2 linked regions of the Drosophila melanogaster genome follow. The protein of the gene in region 1 interacts with the protein of each later gene in a pairwise test. Each region holds a gene or a part of one and is shown on either strand. Other genes may lie near its edges.

What was found.
Region 2: the proteins of NTPase (region 1) and Abcd3 interact in a two-hybrid assay, tested with the Drosophila melanogaster proteins (one large-scale study listed by BioGRID).

Annotation. Positions count from the first base shown.
Region 1 is NT_033779.5:2,880,204-2,887,031, forward strand, and holds NTPase (NTPase), read right to left. Parts: upstream 5,012-6,828; 5' UTR 4,820-5,011; coding exon 4,790-4,819; intron 2,924-4,789; exon of another isoform or gene 2,738-2,923; coding exon of another isoform or gene 2,717-2,737; exon of another isoform or gene 2,631-2,716; coding exon 1,179-2,630; intron 1,118-1,178; coding exon 1,025-1,117; 3' UTR 501-1,024; downstream 1-500. Other genes in the region: RabGGTb (Rab geranylgeranyltransferase subunit beta), read left to right, coding at 1-268.
Region 2 is NC_004354.4:19,747,223-19,755,303, reverse strand, and holds the start of Abcd3 (ATP binding cassette subfamily D member 3), read right to left. Parts: upstream 4,535-8,081; 5' UTR 4,167-4,534; exon of another isoform or gene 3,957-4,166; 5' UTR 3,871-3,956; coding exon 3,758-3,870; intron 434-3,757; exon of another isoform or gene 1-433. Other genes in the region: Alr (augmenter of liver regeneration), read right to left, coding at 5,453-5,615, 5,675-5,916, 5,996-6,391; parvin, read right to left, coding at 7,434-8,054.

The sequences.
Region 1 (6,828 bases):
GCTCGCCTCGCTCACCATCATGGGCCGCCTGCACTGGATCAGCTCGGAGAAGCTGCAGCAGTTCATACTGTCGTGCCAGGACACGGAGACCGGTGGCTTCTCGGACAGAACTGGCAACATGCCGGACATATTCCACACGCTGTTCGGCATCGGCGGACTCTCGCTACTGGGACATTCCGGCCTGAAGGCCATCAACCCAACGCTCTGCATGCCGCAGTACATCATCGACCGGCTGGGCATCAAGCCGCAACTATTGCCGAGGCCATGAGGGGATTCATCGATTCCACATGCAGCCAGTGCGTAGCCAATGTGTAGTGCAGCAGACCTCTGACGTATTCCCACGCTAGCGTTTCTTAGTTTTATTTGTAAAAAGACCAAAATTCCATAGCAGGAACACCCTTTCTTTACTCATTTTCTTCGTTATGCATTTACCCCTCTATTATTATTAAATATAGAATATTTTGTATAGCGAACGAAAATCAGCAATAAACAAATATTTTACTTTAATTCAGATCAGTTAACATTTGATTTATTTGCAAAGATAACTAAACTAACATTTGCATGTGTGAAAAACCGTGTGAAATGTTTGCGGCTAGTAGTCTAGGTCGTTATACATATTAGGTAAATACATATCATTGTGTAAATTTATGTACATGAGGATACGATACGAGTGTAGGGACTAATTAGTTAAGAAGTTGGCAAAAAACTGCATTACAAATATGGCGAATCACACAAAATTGGAATTACAAACTAAACGCTAAGTGTAGTCACCGTGTATGGGTTAGCTCAATTAGAGGCAATTGAAACGAATCTTGCAGAGCACAAACAAATATTAATCGACCACATCATACATATGCTGTGGACAATGTCCGAGTGTGTGTTCTGTGTGTGTGTGGTGTGTGCGGTGTGTGCGGTGTGTTGTGATTGTAGTATACTCGATGCACGTCTAAGGCACTCTATAAACAATTTCAGCTAACAATCCGTTTAAAATTTATGTCTTCAACTACGGACTAATGGAGGAGCATTAGGAATTACTGAATTTCTCGTCGCTAGTCAGAACGTTGTATGCACAGCCGAGGGCCCAGGAGATTTCGTGGCCATCTATCTTCTTGTAAAGCTGCACAATTTAAAACGAGTTACTAGAGAGTTCAATTTGTGTTAAGTGCGCCAGGACTCACCTTAATCTTCTTGCCATCGTTGAGGCCAAATCCTTCGCGCAGCAGCGTCGAGATGAAGGTAAGGTCGAAGCACATGAAGGGCTGCTCATCGTTGGGAATGGCACAGATCTCCTGGGCCTTCTTGCGATAAGCTTCCACCGTGGTCTCGCCGCCAGCCAGTGGATCCACCAGACCCGACTCGATGGCCCGCTCAAAGTAGTAGCTGAACGCGGCCACCGCGTGCTGCTTGAGTGTGAACGGCTTGGGCTTGACCAGCGGCATTACCTTGCTCTTGACCAGCTCCAGGCAGGCATCGAAGTCCACAATGGGCTGCTCGGCACTGGACTTGCCATTCTCCTTGCCGCTGACCTTGTACTGCACATTGCCGTATGTCCACGTGCGATTGGCGATTATGGGATTCACGCAGACGCTCTCCAGCACCGTATCCTCCTTCTTGTAGCCGTGCGTGAAGACAGCATGGCGTGCAGCCATTAGACCCAGTCCCAGATAGCTGTGCGTGAAGACGTTGATCTTCTTGCTGGACGTGACCACCTCGTGCATGTACTTATCGTACACGGGCACCTGGTCCGGATCCGTTGGCGAGAAGGTTACCTGCGTGCTACCGCCGCCCAAGTCCAAGGCAGCTGCCTGGTTCGTCTTGGACAGGCGGCCCAGCAGGAAGTTCACGGTAAACCAGCTGAAGATGCCCTCGTCCGTGCCGTCCATGATCTCCACGGCATCCATATCCACACTAAACTCGGACTTGGCGAAGAGATCTCGGACGGCATTTAGAATGTTTTCCGCCTTGCTGGCGGGCAGGAGTCTCAGGCCGGCGGTCGCTTTCAGAACCAGCGGTGTGGAAGACCAGTGCTCCTTGGGTATGAAGGCGCGGGCCTCGTCCAGCAGCAGTTTGATGGAGTGGGCACCCTCGGCGGGATTATCCGCGAAGGAGCTCAGACCCGGCTTGCGCTCCTTGAACAGCTCCTCGTACAGCACCAGTTTGTTGTCGATGAAGCTGCGATTGAACTTGTAGGCCAGCACACGGCTGCCCGTCGATCCGGCATCGATGATGGCCGCATACTGCACCTTGCTGTAGCCAAACTTGGAGGCCAAACGGGCCAGATACGGACTGGCGTTCTCGGAGACGAAGCCTGCATCGTTGTCAGTCGTTGGTTTATTGGCGATGGGTTTTTTAGTGATAACACGGCGAACGGGTGGCGCAAAATGGGGTTCCACGTGGGCGTAGGGCACGGTAACAGTGGGAAAATCAGAGGTTTTCGTTAGTACAACTTTGGGCACTTCGTCTTTTACATAATACAAATGGTACACACCAAAGACAAAGAGCAGGAGGATGACGGAGATGATCAGGCACAGGAAGGAGATCTTGAGGCCGCTGGGCCCGCGGTTTCCACCACTGCTGGCATTTGGTGATCCGCTACTTTTCCGCCGCGGTGGCTTCTCATCCGTGGCCAGCTGAAAAGGCGAAAGACAAATTAGTTTTGTGACCGACTACTCAGTTATTTGATGGTGTTTTTCTTGGCCAAGTTCATCGGGTCTACCAGCTTATATTCGTATTTCATGGTTCGTTCCGTTGCCTCTGCTGGCTCCACATTTATGCATGGCCGGTTTCTTGGTCGGAACACATTTCAGTTGTTTGCTGCTCAAATATTAACACGCTGGCTGTTTGCTATCTCTGCGAATGTCAATGAATTTCATTTCTTCTCTTGTTTTCGGTCTATTTTACGGGCTTTATCGTTAACATGTGCCAGGGCTGCAGAGTCCGTGGCTCATCGATAACGTTAACCAGGGTTGGGCCACACTTTTGGCAACGGTAATTTAGGGCAGTTGGTAAACAGAAAACCGTTACTTCAAACAAAATAACCTTTTAAAGCGCATTACTTGGATATTTCCACGATTAGTATATATTATTGTTCTACCTAACTTTTCGCTAGTTTATATTAGTTCTTATAAGAACAAACGATAAACACTAAAAATAGTAAAAAATGCGTTTCTATGGCTTTAGCTATGGCTATTATTAATTTTCTTAAAATATAAAGTCATGCCAAATTACACATTTTCGCTGAGGAAGTCAGCGAAGCCAGTGGCCATTCGACTAGAATCTTATCGCGTAGCTTTCTGGGCGATATGACAGTGATAAGACGCAATCAGTTTTCGGGGGCGATTGGCGCGTCTGGGCACCACTGGCAACAATCATAAGTGGGGCAGGCCACGAAGCGATCTTTTAGCTTGATCAAATATTAAAGTTCCCAAACAAACCTGATGAAATTCCCATTGTTTAAACAAATGTTACGCTGTTGGTAAGCGACTGACGCAAAAAAAAAATAGTTAAAGCCAATGAAAAGTAGTCAAACAAAGCACAAATAGCGAGTATATATAATTAAGCAGTAATGGAGTTGACAGGTAGATGGTATATATATCTATATCTATACAATCAAGTACACCCATTAGTTTCGAATACACATACTACTTCCCAATAATTACACTGTTGGCATAAGTGAAACTCATTAAACATTCAGGGTGTGAACTTAACGCATATGTTTCCAGGCGCACGCTACTGCAATCAATAAATCTACTGATAAAAGGCGCCTTTTGTGCCGATCTAGTGACTAAGAAGCCTGCTCCCCATTTATAAAGGGGAATACTTTAATCGGTTCTATAGATAACTCATTTATTTCGAAGCCGAACACTATTTTGCATCAGCTGAAAAGTAAATCTTAAGTCTTAAAGAACCCTAATTGATAAATGTATCTTGAAATATATAAATATGACGCACAAAATGAGTTGAAAGATACAAACATTGAAAGCTGGTAGAAGTGTGCTATCTAGAAAATGCTGATAAGTTTAGACACAGATGTTGTGAAAACAACAAATATCGAGTTAGATACAAAAGTATCTAGTATATATTGTAGTACCGAGTACACGTAGGTACACGAGGGTTAAGGCCACGTTAGCAGCCAGGCACTATCTGCACTCACTTGCAACCGGTTCCGGTTTGCCCGCATCCTGTTCTCCACCCACTTGCGATGCAAATCAGTCGAAACTATGCGATCCAATCGCCCCCGAAATGGGACACTCTATGTGTACCTGTGATCTTTGGGTTCCGATGCGAGAAAGCGATTGCAAAAGTTGTCTAGCGAGATTCGGTCGAAACGGCTGCCAACTGAATCGTTGGACTTTTCTATGCTTTTTTTTTATCAGCCCCCCCTAATGACCTTGCAAATGAGAAAGTTCCTGCTGACTGGTCACCCTAATGCGAATACGAAAATATTTCAAAATAAACCGGCCGGCATTAAGATGTTGATAGAAAACCCACTAGTCATCTCTTTCGTAACTAAAATCAAAATTTGCATAATTGTTAACAAAAGCGTGCTTAGCGGCCATTGCGTATCTATATTTAAATGTCTTGTAAACATACATTTTCAGATACAAATTGGCACAATCGAATAGAATAGAACTTGAAACGATTATTCTGCGAGTCATTTGATGTTTTACTTCCGCGTCAAAAGAGCAGCAATTTGAGGAATTCGCATGTGTGCGTGTGTGTGTGAGAGAGCGCCATGAAATTGGCATTAAATTTGTGCTGTGGATTGCCCTTTTGACCTTTTCCTTACTTTTCTCTTTCGCACATCGGTGTTCGTCATTCTGTCGTCGTTACTTTTCACTTAAATTATGTAAATACGCGAGCGTTTGTTTATTTCGGATCGATTGCTGCCGATCGCCGAGCGGAACGCACTAATGTCGATCTAATCTAATGATGGCCGCGCCCGCCGAATGATAAACTCTGATCAGGAAGCCAACGCGCACGGAATGGCGTCTTGGAATCAACTAAAAACATTTATTTACCACCTGCTCATTTATATGCTGCAGCCCTATCAGCTGTTCGCTGCGGCGCCCACTATCAGCGCATACGGCCACACTGCGGGGGCGGCAGGGATGCCAAAAATTGATGTGGATAACATAGAAATATTTAAAATTGTGAAATTATTCGATTTTGATAAGTATACTTCTTAACGGAATTCTGATAACAGGTGCAGAAATCCAGTGCATAGTACTATAATTGACATATATTAGAGGATTCGTTGTGCCTTAATCCGCTATTTAAATCAATAAGGATTTATCATAGATTCATTCGTAGATTCTTATCATTATTTTGTACCGACAAATAAGATAATTGGATTCAATAGATATTCATTCAAGCTAAGTGTAGATTAGATTATATAGGTATATCATATTTCCCATTAAGATACTTGCCCATTCCAAAATTGGGTTTTCTGGATTAGACATTGAGATAAGAAACCAGTGTTGAAAACCAACACTGAAAACTGCTTATGAATTTTCAAAAACGCTCGGATAAACACATTGCTAGATAAAACTCAGATCGTTAGACAAACCGGTTCCAAAAATCATTCATTAAGTAAGAGAAAATCGAAATTTTTAGCAAATATGCGGTACCGACATTTTCCAGAACTGGACCTATCGTCGCACAGCTGATCGCCCGCCAATCAGCTGGGCGATAGTTGCCGTATCGATAGCCGACCCATCGATAACGATATGTGTATTTTCCTGCTCTCTCTGCACCAACACAAAACACGCAACTAAATTTCGGTTAAAAACCCCTACTAAAAACAATGCAATCGAAACGGAACCATATAAAGTGATTAAATGGCCAACGCGGCGGAGGCGAAATGCGAGCGCAGTGCATTTTCCGGATGAAATCGCGTTTTCGGGGAAACTTACACAAACATTTTTTTCGTAAGCGCTCTCATGTTGTCTCTTTCGCACAGCAGAATTACTAGTTGCTGTGTGTGTGCGTGCGTGCGTTTGTGTGTGCCGTATGCCGTGTGCCAGTGTGTGCGTGCGTGTGAGTGTGAGTGTGAGTGACTTTGACTGCAGTTCGCGTACGTTTTTTATTAATACACCACATAACAACAATCACAACAACAACAAACAGTAATGGAAACTAAACATATTTAATGCGAGGAGACCAGAAATCGTCTAAAACGGCAAGGCTTTATCACCATCGCCACCACCACCAACAGCACAGCAACAACAACAAATTACTACAGCATATATGCTAGTGTGCGTAAACGTATTTGTGTTAAATAATGTTTAAACTGGCATTTCTGATTTCGCACACAAAACAATATTAAGTTGTAGTCACCAGCAGAGAGGAGCAATTGAAGCAAACGAAAAAGAGGTAAGTGCAAAAAGCAGACAATTGTTATAAACAAAATGTGTCAAAAGTTCGTCATGTCGTCGCGCGCTCTCTCTCTCTTTTTTGCTCGTTCTCCCTCTCTCTCTCCGCTCTGTCCTTCTCTCTCCCGCCACGCCGAAAAGAAATTAATTTTGATATTTTTTCCCTGCTTTTTTGTTGCACTCTCTCGCTCTCGCAAACTTTTAATTTTAATTTGCTATGCGCAGCGAATTCGCGCGCAAAGGCAACAAAAAAAGAGGCAATGCAAAGGCAGCAGCAACAACAATACAGGCAAAGTAATAAACGTCAAAATGCCAGACGGACAATTCCTCTCTCATGCGCTCTTTCCGTCGCTGTGTGCGTGCGTGTGTGTGTGTGTGTTTGGGTTTGCTAGCTTTTTGTTTTTATCAATTATTTAGGTAGGTGTTTGCCTTAAAAAGAATAACTGAAACGCAG
Region 2 (8,081 bases), on another chromosome or scaffold:
TAAAAAAAAAGCACATTTCCCCAAATTTGCTACATGAAATGCTTCCGAGATAATTTGTTTGAATTCTTTTCAGCTGCTAATCGTTGTGGGATCAAGGTCCGGATGAAAACCGGTGCCCAGAGCTGACCAGCTCAACACAAGCCACTGGGCCATTGGCTAACCGGCATTGGATCGCCAATCGGATCGGATCGGATCGGATCGGATCGTATCGTATCGAATCGGATGGAGTCCAAAATCGCCACCTGCCCAGGGTTCGAAGTCTATGGGATAATGTGGGTGATGAGATGTGAGGTGCTGGTGTTGCTGGTGCTGGTGCTGGTGCTGGTGCTGGTGCTACTGGTATGTTAGGCCAAACAAAGTACAAAGCTCGCGCCTTGGTTATCTGCAGGCTGGAAAAAGCGACGAGTCGTGATGACTTGGTTATTTCTTAAATATCGCTGCGCAGATCACTGAATTATTCATAGCGCTCTTGTATTTATTTCTATATATATATATATATATATATATATATATGTTTCCATCTATCTATCTTTCAATCCGTCTGTGTGTCTGGCTGTCTCTCGTGTGGTTTTCCTTTTTTGATTCGTAGTATATTAAACTTGTTTTCACCGCCTAGACGTGGAACATGTGTTTGGGTCCATAGGTCAACACCGGTGGCTCCCATTGCCATACCCATACCCATTCCCATTCCCATTCCCATTCCGAAATCGCCTGCCCCTGCGATTCATCCAAAGCTCTCTTTCGCTAATCGCCGGCGATCGCCTAATGGGGGGCACATTGAACCCGGGCGCGAGAAGATCGGTTGGCGTCTGACTCAGATAGAGACATTGCCGCGGATTGCAATCAAAGTTCAGTGGTTCTTGTGCCGCATAGCAGCCGCTATCGAGCTAGTTTGTCTGATAAACGCTGGCCAAAATCAGATAGCTCGACACAGCTCGGGCATACTCATCACCTGTTGCCTTGGCTGTTACCTGTAGACCTCAAGACCCGTAGTCAGTCTGCCGGCACTCACACGCTCACTCCACTCCGCTTGCGATGTCTCAGAAGTGAGAGCGAGTGAGCAAGTGAGCGAGCGAGTAAGTGAGTGAGTGAGTGAGTGAGTAAGTGAGTGAGCGGTAGGCAGGCAGGCAGACAGACAGACATACAGGCCTTGGCAACGTGGCATCCGCAACAGGTGCAAATGTCAGAGCTCGGCTGCGAATCTGCATTGAAATTACGATCTCATTTCACGCACCGTCCGAGTAAAGGCGAGAATTATACAAATTACACGATAAATGGCTGCCTTGCGGGGCAATCCGATTATCGAGGGCCAAGCGTTTCCCGGGCACAAGGTCTCTCCATCCATCCGACTCTTCCACTTCCCCATCCGAAAGTCTGGAGCGCGCACAGCCACACAAGCTATTGCGCAACAGCCGGCGGGACGGGCCGGGCGATACAGAATGTGTCTACCTGCGAAAAACAGAGCAAGTTGTACACAAATTAACACCTATACCCCATTACCCATTACCCATCTCGAAGGCAAAGAGCTGGGAATGGGAACGGGAATGCGAATGGAAATGGAAATGGAAAAATGAAACCAGAAGCCACTGGTCCTCTGCGCTTCTCTCCATCCAATGTTGTGGATGGCACGACGCAAGTCATTAAAAGGCACGGCTGTAATGTTTATGCTTTATACCCGGGTGTCATCATGTCATCCATGGAATGGGTGTGTGTGTGTGTGGGTATGGGTACGGACTTGGGTCCGGGTAAGGGGTACAATCGAGTGTTGTTGCAACACCAAAAGCAAACTGCCCACCGGTGGTTGCGTGTTCGATTGCAAGGCAGGCTGCTGGATGTCAAGTCAAAGTGTTTGGACCTTTGGACTAATGAGCTTGGGTGTGTTGTCCAATTGTCCAAACCCTTGATAGATTGCAAAGACATTATTGGCGGTGCTACGAGCTAGCATAACCGTACCATATCAGTTAACAATTCTAGGGCCTGTCCTTGATATGAGGCTATAAAAAAAACACCGATAAAAAAGCGCCTTGAAAGTTGTGCAAGAGGCGTTGCTACTCGGAAACTCGTTGACACATTCGAAAAGTCCCTTTTAAACTTTCAACGTTCTTAATCATTCAGCGATTAGCTCTTGGACTTGAAAGTGAATCATAGAATGAATGAAATTAAATGAAATTATATGAAATGAACCACAAAATTCAACCACTGATTCATATGAAAGCATAATCGAAGTGGAGCTCCACTTGCGAAGCCCATTTGGTTGGTTGGACTGTGGAGTGTCCAGTCACTGCATCCATTGAACCGACTGCACCATCCACTGTGCAAAATTCGAACAATGGAATGGTGCATAAATTTAGCGGCCATCCACAAGTGGCGGCTACCTCGCTCGCAAAAGTTGCATAAAAAAGTAAACAGCGCATTAAAATGCTCGATTTCGATCGCCTGCCAAAGTGCAGTGCACTTCAGAGAAGTTGCTGAAAGTGATGGCCACCGGTTGGGTATCCAACATCGGAGTGCTCGGCATACTCCGAGTACTCGGAGTAATGTTAGCAATTAACGAGTGGCACATGCAGCCACGGCAGATCCCCCACAATCCCATGCGGATGGCTGGCTGGCTGGCTGGCTGGCAATGCAATCACCCACCCACTCCACTTGTCCGCCGCAATCTGTCTAATTAATTGGCTCTGTCATGCAAATAGTCGATTGCGCCCGCTTTACCCGTTCAGTTTATTCAATAAGATGAAATCGACTGATAGCGGTCAATTGCGCGCCGAACCCCGCACACATCGAATATGACCAAATATTGAGCGCGTTAACAACAGCATAATCGGCACGAGTGGCGATAGTGGAATGGGGCATATAGATGAAGTGCTGTAGACTGGCGCGTTGCCGATTAGATTAGCGGCAAAGACCAAGTCCATTCAAACACCGAAACGTGGCCCTTAACCGGGGAATCAAGTCCGCATCGCAGGTGCTCGATGGGGAAATCCTTGAAGCGATACCGCAATGAAGCAGGCCGCCAAGAAGTGGCTATTCGGGTCATAATAGTCGAGGGCGCCGAGAAGGCTTTCCTAATCGAGTTTGCTGTTTGGCCGGAAATGTAGTGCCTATCTGAGTCTACCTTCTGCTAAGTACGCGGAATTCCTCCATTCCTCCCAGACAATATATACATTCAGACCTATCCTAGATATCAGTATATCTACATAATAGGGATAGACTGCAAACAGATCCAGCTACTTTGGTTCACATCTACTTAAATGAATCGATGATCTGTTGACTTTTTTTTTGTATTGGGACTGCACTTAAAAATATCTTTTTGAGAATCTTCAAAACGTAAGCTGGTGGTCGCCAAACTTATTATAAGATTATGGCAATGGGTAACACAATTGAAAAGAACAGTATTTGGAGCTGCAAACGAACTGTCCGGCCCACTGTGCGCGGCTGCTGGACGAATCAATTGAAACCGGACTACAATGAGGGGGAAGTGCATACAGTGTGGCAGAAACGGCCATCGGAAAACCAGTTTTTGCAGTCCGCCAGATGACCCACAATAGTGGCATCGCATCGTATGTCCCGCAAACAAATCTGTTTGTACATAAATACACAGCGATCCAAAACTCAAGTCAATATCACGGACACATCGATGGCCAAGACCGAGACCTTGTGCAATAAGATGTTCGTAGAATATTGCATATTGCACAGGCAACATAAATAACATGGTTGAGCCACAATTATCCGTAATTAAGATCAAGGGGGGGCTTACCGCTTCTTGTTGGACATCTTTCCGTAGGCAATTATCCAGAGGGCCGCCGTCATGCCCGCCACGCCGACGATGGCGCTCTGGTTGTTGGCCAATTTGCTTAGAGCCGGGGCCATTCTGCTATTGCGATGTGGCTACGGATCTCGTTTGGCTTCAAATTGGGCACCTTGTGAATTTTACAATTCGCAATTTCGCGTTCGCACTTCAGTGTTCGATTAACCGCACGTGGGGGGAGGGGGTTTGCACAAGGAAAAAATTAAAAAAAAAAAATTATAATAAATAGTAAGTATGAAAGGGGAACAGACACTATTGTTTATTGCACGGATTTCAATATTTTAATCGGCTGTTTGATGACGACACAACACACAGACATGCACACACACACAGATGGTGGATAGCAGGATGTAAACACCTGGTTGTCGAACAGCCCTGTCTTAGCTTCGTCCTCTCTCGCTCGCACCCTCTCTCTCTTTCAGGGCAACTGCTTCTTCTTCTTCCTGTACTACAACTGGTGGTGGTGATGGTGCTGCTGCTTCTTCCTCCGCTGCTAGTGGCGCTCCTTTTCTGGCCAAAGGGGGTGGGCAAAGTGATTGTCACACACGGCGGGCGCTTTTATTTATTCAATTTGAGCCAGGCGCATTTCTTTGTTTGGTAATTACACTCTACTCAGCTCGACCAAATCGAGAAATCTGACGAAGTGATACGTGCGACGCGCAAAAGCCAGCAGGCAACTAACTGTAGTGCGATGTGCGCTAGTGTTGGCTACCACGACAATGTGCGGGCAGCGGCGCTGCGGGGGCAGCTATTTCGCCGCCAAATCTGGCTATTTCTGAACGAAGAGCTATCGAACAAGTTATCACCGATAATTATGAATCGAAAATATCGTTCATCTAAATTTGAGGTATTAAATATTTTAAATTAGCCAAATTTAAATTTCCCCGCTTAAACTACCTAAACTATTGCTGAGCAATCATGTTATATAAGTAAATCATATAATGGCTTACTCTTACGAAAATTCCACTAATTTTTATATCTCTTATGTTAAGCATATTAAAATGTTAAATGAATAAAATGTTAATGTTTCGTTGATTGCAAAAAAAAATTAAGTTAAATATTAAAAAATATAACCAGAGCAGACAAATTTTAAGACCTTTAGTCCTTTAGGTATTATAGAAAGGAAATCTAAAAACTATATAAGTATCAGCCAAATCCCCTAATTTCGAACCAACTAAGCATTGTATTCCAACTCCGCTTTAGATCTTTCCACTCCCATCTTATCGAAGTGGAAAGCATTTGCCTTCCCCATTCTAATCTAATAAACGCCAGTCGGCAGATTAGAGATTGCGATATCTGCAGGGCCAGTGAGAAGGCATAATACGGGTCCTCAACATAATGTGTATATTCTAATGGAGTTCATAGCCAGCAAATCATTTAACAATGGACCTTCGATGTGTCGCTCTATTACAACATAACTCAATTTAATGTCACGCTGACGCAGGTTCCGACTGGTGGGCATGGCCTCTGGCCAGAAACAGGGCACAGTTTCGGGTTGGCGGCGGTACACCGCCGAGCAGGAGTCCCGTGTTCCGTGGTTGTAGTTGTGGGCCAGCCGAGCAAAATGTGGGACAAAGTCTGGTCAACATGGCAACCTGCAACGGGCGGGAGACGGGGCTTCTCGGCGCTGGTTAGCTGCGGCGCCTAGTCGCAGGAGCCGTCTAGCCAGCCGTCGCGCCACCTCTCGTTCACCTTGGTGCAATCGAAGAGCGGTTTGCCCAGTTTGTCGTTCACTCGGTTGTGGAACTTGCACAGCCACAGTGCTAGCTCCTTTTGGGAGTTCACATTGATGGGGTTGACGTCCAGGCTGCAACAGAGGTCCAGCTAAAGTGTCAGCGTTTTCAAATGGATTGAAGATGCACTTACTCGGTGCGAAAGTCCTTGGCGCAAAACTCGCAGGGGTAAAGGCGCGACAGAACCTCAAAAAAGGTCTTCATGTCGCGCTTCTCGGTGTCCGTGGGGTTGTCCGAGTAAAAGGCGGCCATGGTGTGGAGCAGTCCCCAGGTGGAAATTCCCAGCCTCACCTTGTCCAGCGGGCAGTCGTCGCGGGGCAGCGGATCTTCGGCGGCGTTGACGGTCAGCTTTTCGGCGGCGGCCATGTGCTTCACCTGGAGGAGTATGAAAGTGGGAGATTCTTGTGTTATCGTCCTGCTTGCGAAGGCGAAGTGGCCAACGCGATCACGTCACCTTGGCGCTCTGCACGTTGGAGATGAGGCGTTGCTGCTTGGACCACGACTTGAAATCGTTGCAGGTGCGGCAGTTCGAGTCCTGTTTGCCGGCGCCGCTGGCACCGGCCTTGCGGTTCGCTGCGAATGGGGACTCGTGGTGCTCCTTATCCATCTCGGGATTCGCCTCGGCAGACATGATGAAGTCCGGGTCACGGATCAGGCGGAGAACGGTGCGCTGCAGACGGCGAATTACCAGGCGAGTTGCTTCCCGGCTGAGTTCGATGTGCGTGGGGCTGATGTAGTCGTAGCCGTAGTTGTGGGACTGGCGGCGCAGCAGAAGCGTTGGTGTGGTGGGTAGTTCTAGAATCTTGAAACTTCGCTCGGCTATTGTGAAAATCATAAAAAGCATGCGCATGGTTGCCACCTTGTTTCGAAACGAAACACATAACATTAGGACATATCTGGCTAAGCGGCTTAGTTAAGCGGCTGCAATCAACGCAAGTTACTAAATACTGGCTTTTAGATTCATGGCCAACATCTGGCCAAGGACCAAAATCCGGTCAGCAAAGTAACATTTTCAAATTATACCGGCCAGCAATCGAAAATCGATGCGAAATCGTTCCCGAACGGGAAGCGATCTGGCAGCCTGCTCGCAGCTGTGATCGATACCAGACCGTTGCGAGTTGCGCGCGCAACCGCGACAATTCAAATAGCACAGCGTTCAGAAAATTACTAAGGTTTGTTTCTCAATCAATTCGAGACGCTCGAAAGAACTTACATGTGAATAGGATGGAAGCTGGCGTTTGTGAGTGCTGCAGCCCCAGATAAATTTTGCGCCTTGGAACTGTTTAAAATAGAATAACACATATGCTATTGGCAATATTTATTGATTTTTCTGATCCAAATTTTTAACGTACACAATAAAATTTTTTTTTAAGACTTTTCCGTAAACTTCTACATTTACAGCGTTAAAATCTGATCTGTGACATAATTTGCAAAAGCTCTGTGTGATCTAAAGGCACAATCTCGGTTATTGTGTTCAAATAATGTATTAATACAATAAATTCACTTAGTAACAACTACAACGTCTGGCACGTGAGTAAGACAAGTTAACAACTGGCCGCCGGATTTTGGGTTTGGGTTAGCTCTGCTCTGCTCTGCTCCTTCCTGTTCCGAGCAATCTGAATCTGGAGCAGATCGCAGTGGTTAGACGTACGACACATAAATATATATATATATATATAAACATTCCTTGGGCTGATTATACGCGACGCAGCATTTAGTTGTGGTTTTGAGAGTTAGGATCAGTAAGCTTTAACCGCTGCATCGCCTACAATCAGTTTCGAGAACGCACATAAATTAGGCGTGTAAACACTATCAAAAAGTTAATATAAAATGTAAAATTGGCGCCGCTTGTTGCTCCTGCAACCCGCTGGCTCGTTCCATCCGGGTTTCACTCAGGCGAAGTCCCTGAACATGGTGAACAGGCTGTATAGGACGCGCAGGGTGGACTTGAGGTCCATGTTCACGATGTCCTCCGGCCGCGCCTTTGGTTTGGGCAGGCCCACGTCCTGCATCAGGTCGAAGGCGAAGGCCACGTTGCTGACCATCTGATCCACGTCCTGCGGCGTCAAATGGAACTCGTGCAGCGGCACAAAGAATCCACCGAGCAGGCCCATCAGCAGGCACAGGTATACGCCGTCGCGAAAGTCCGTGTTCAGATCGCTGATCTCAAAGTTCAGCTTGGCCAGGTGCTTGTTCACGAACGTGATCAAGGACTTCTTCACCACGGCCAGCTTGTCCGGCGCACAGTCGATCAGCGTGTCGAAGGCGTCCTTTTCGCAGCGCATGCCCAGGTCGTCGTACTCGGACGTTATCTGCTCCTGGAACTTCTGCGCGTTCAGCACGCCCGCATTCTTCTCCGCAATCACGACGGTCACGAACACGTTCTCTGGCAGGCGAACGGGCGCCCGGAAGTGACGCACCAGTGCCACCAGCAGATGTAATATGGCCACAATGTTCTTCGAGTGCACGCTGGCCACCGACCACTTGGGAATCTTTTGGTGAAAGCCGAGTGTCTGTGGGTGTGGGCAAGGATAAAATTT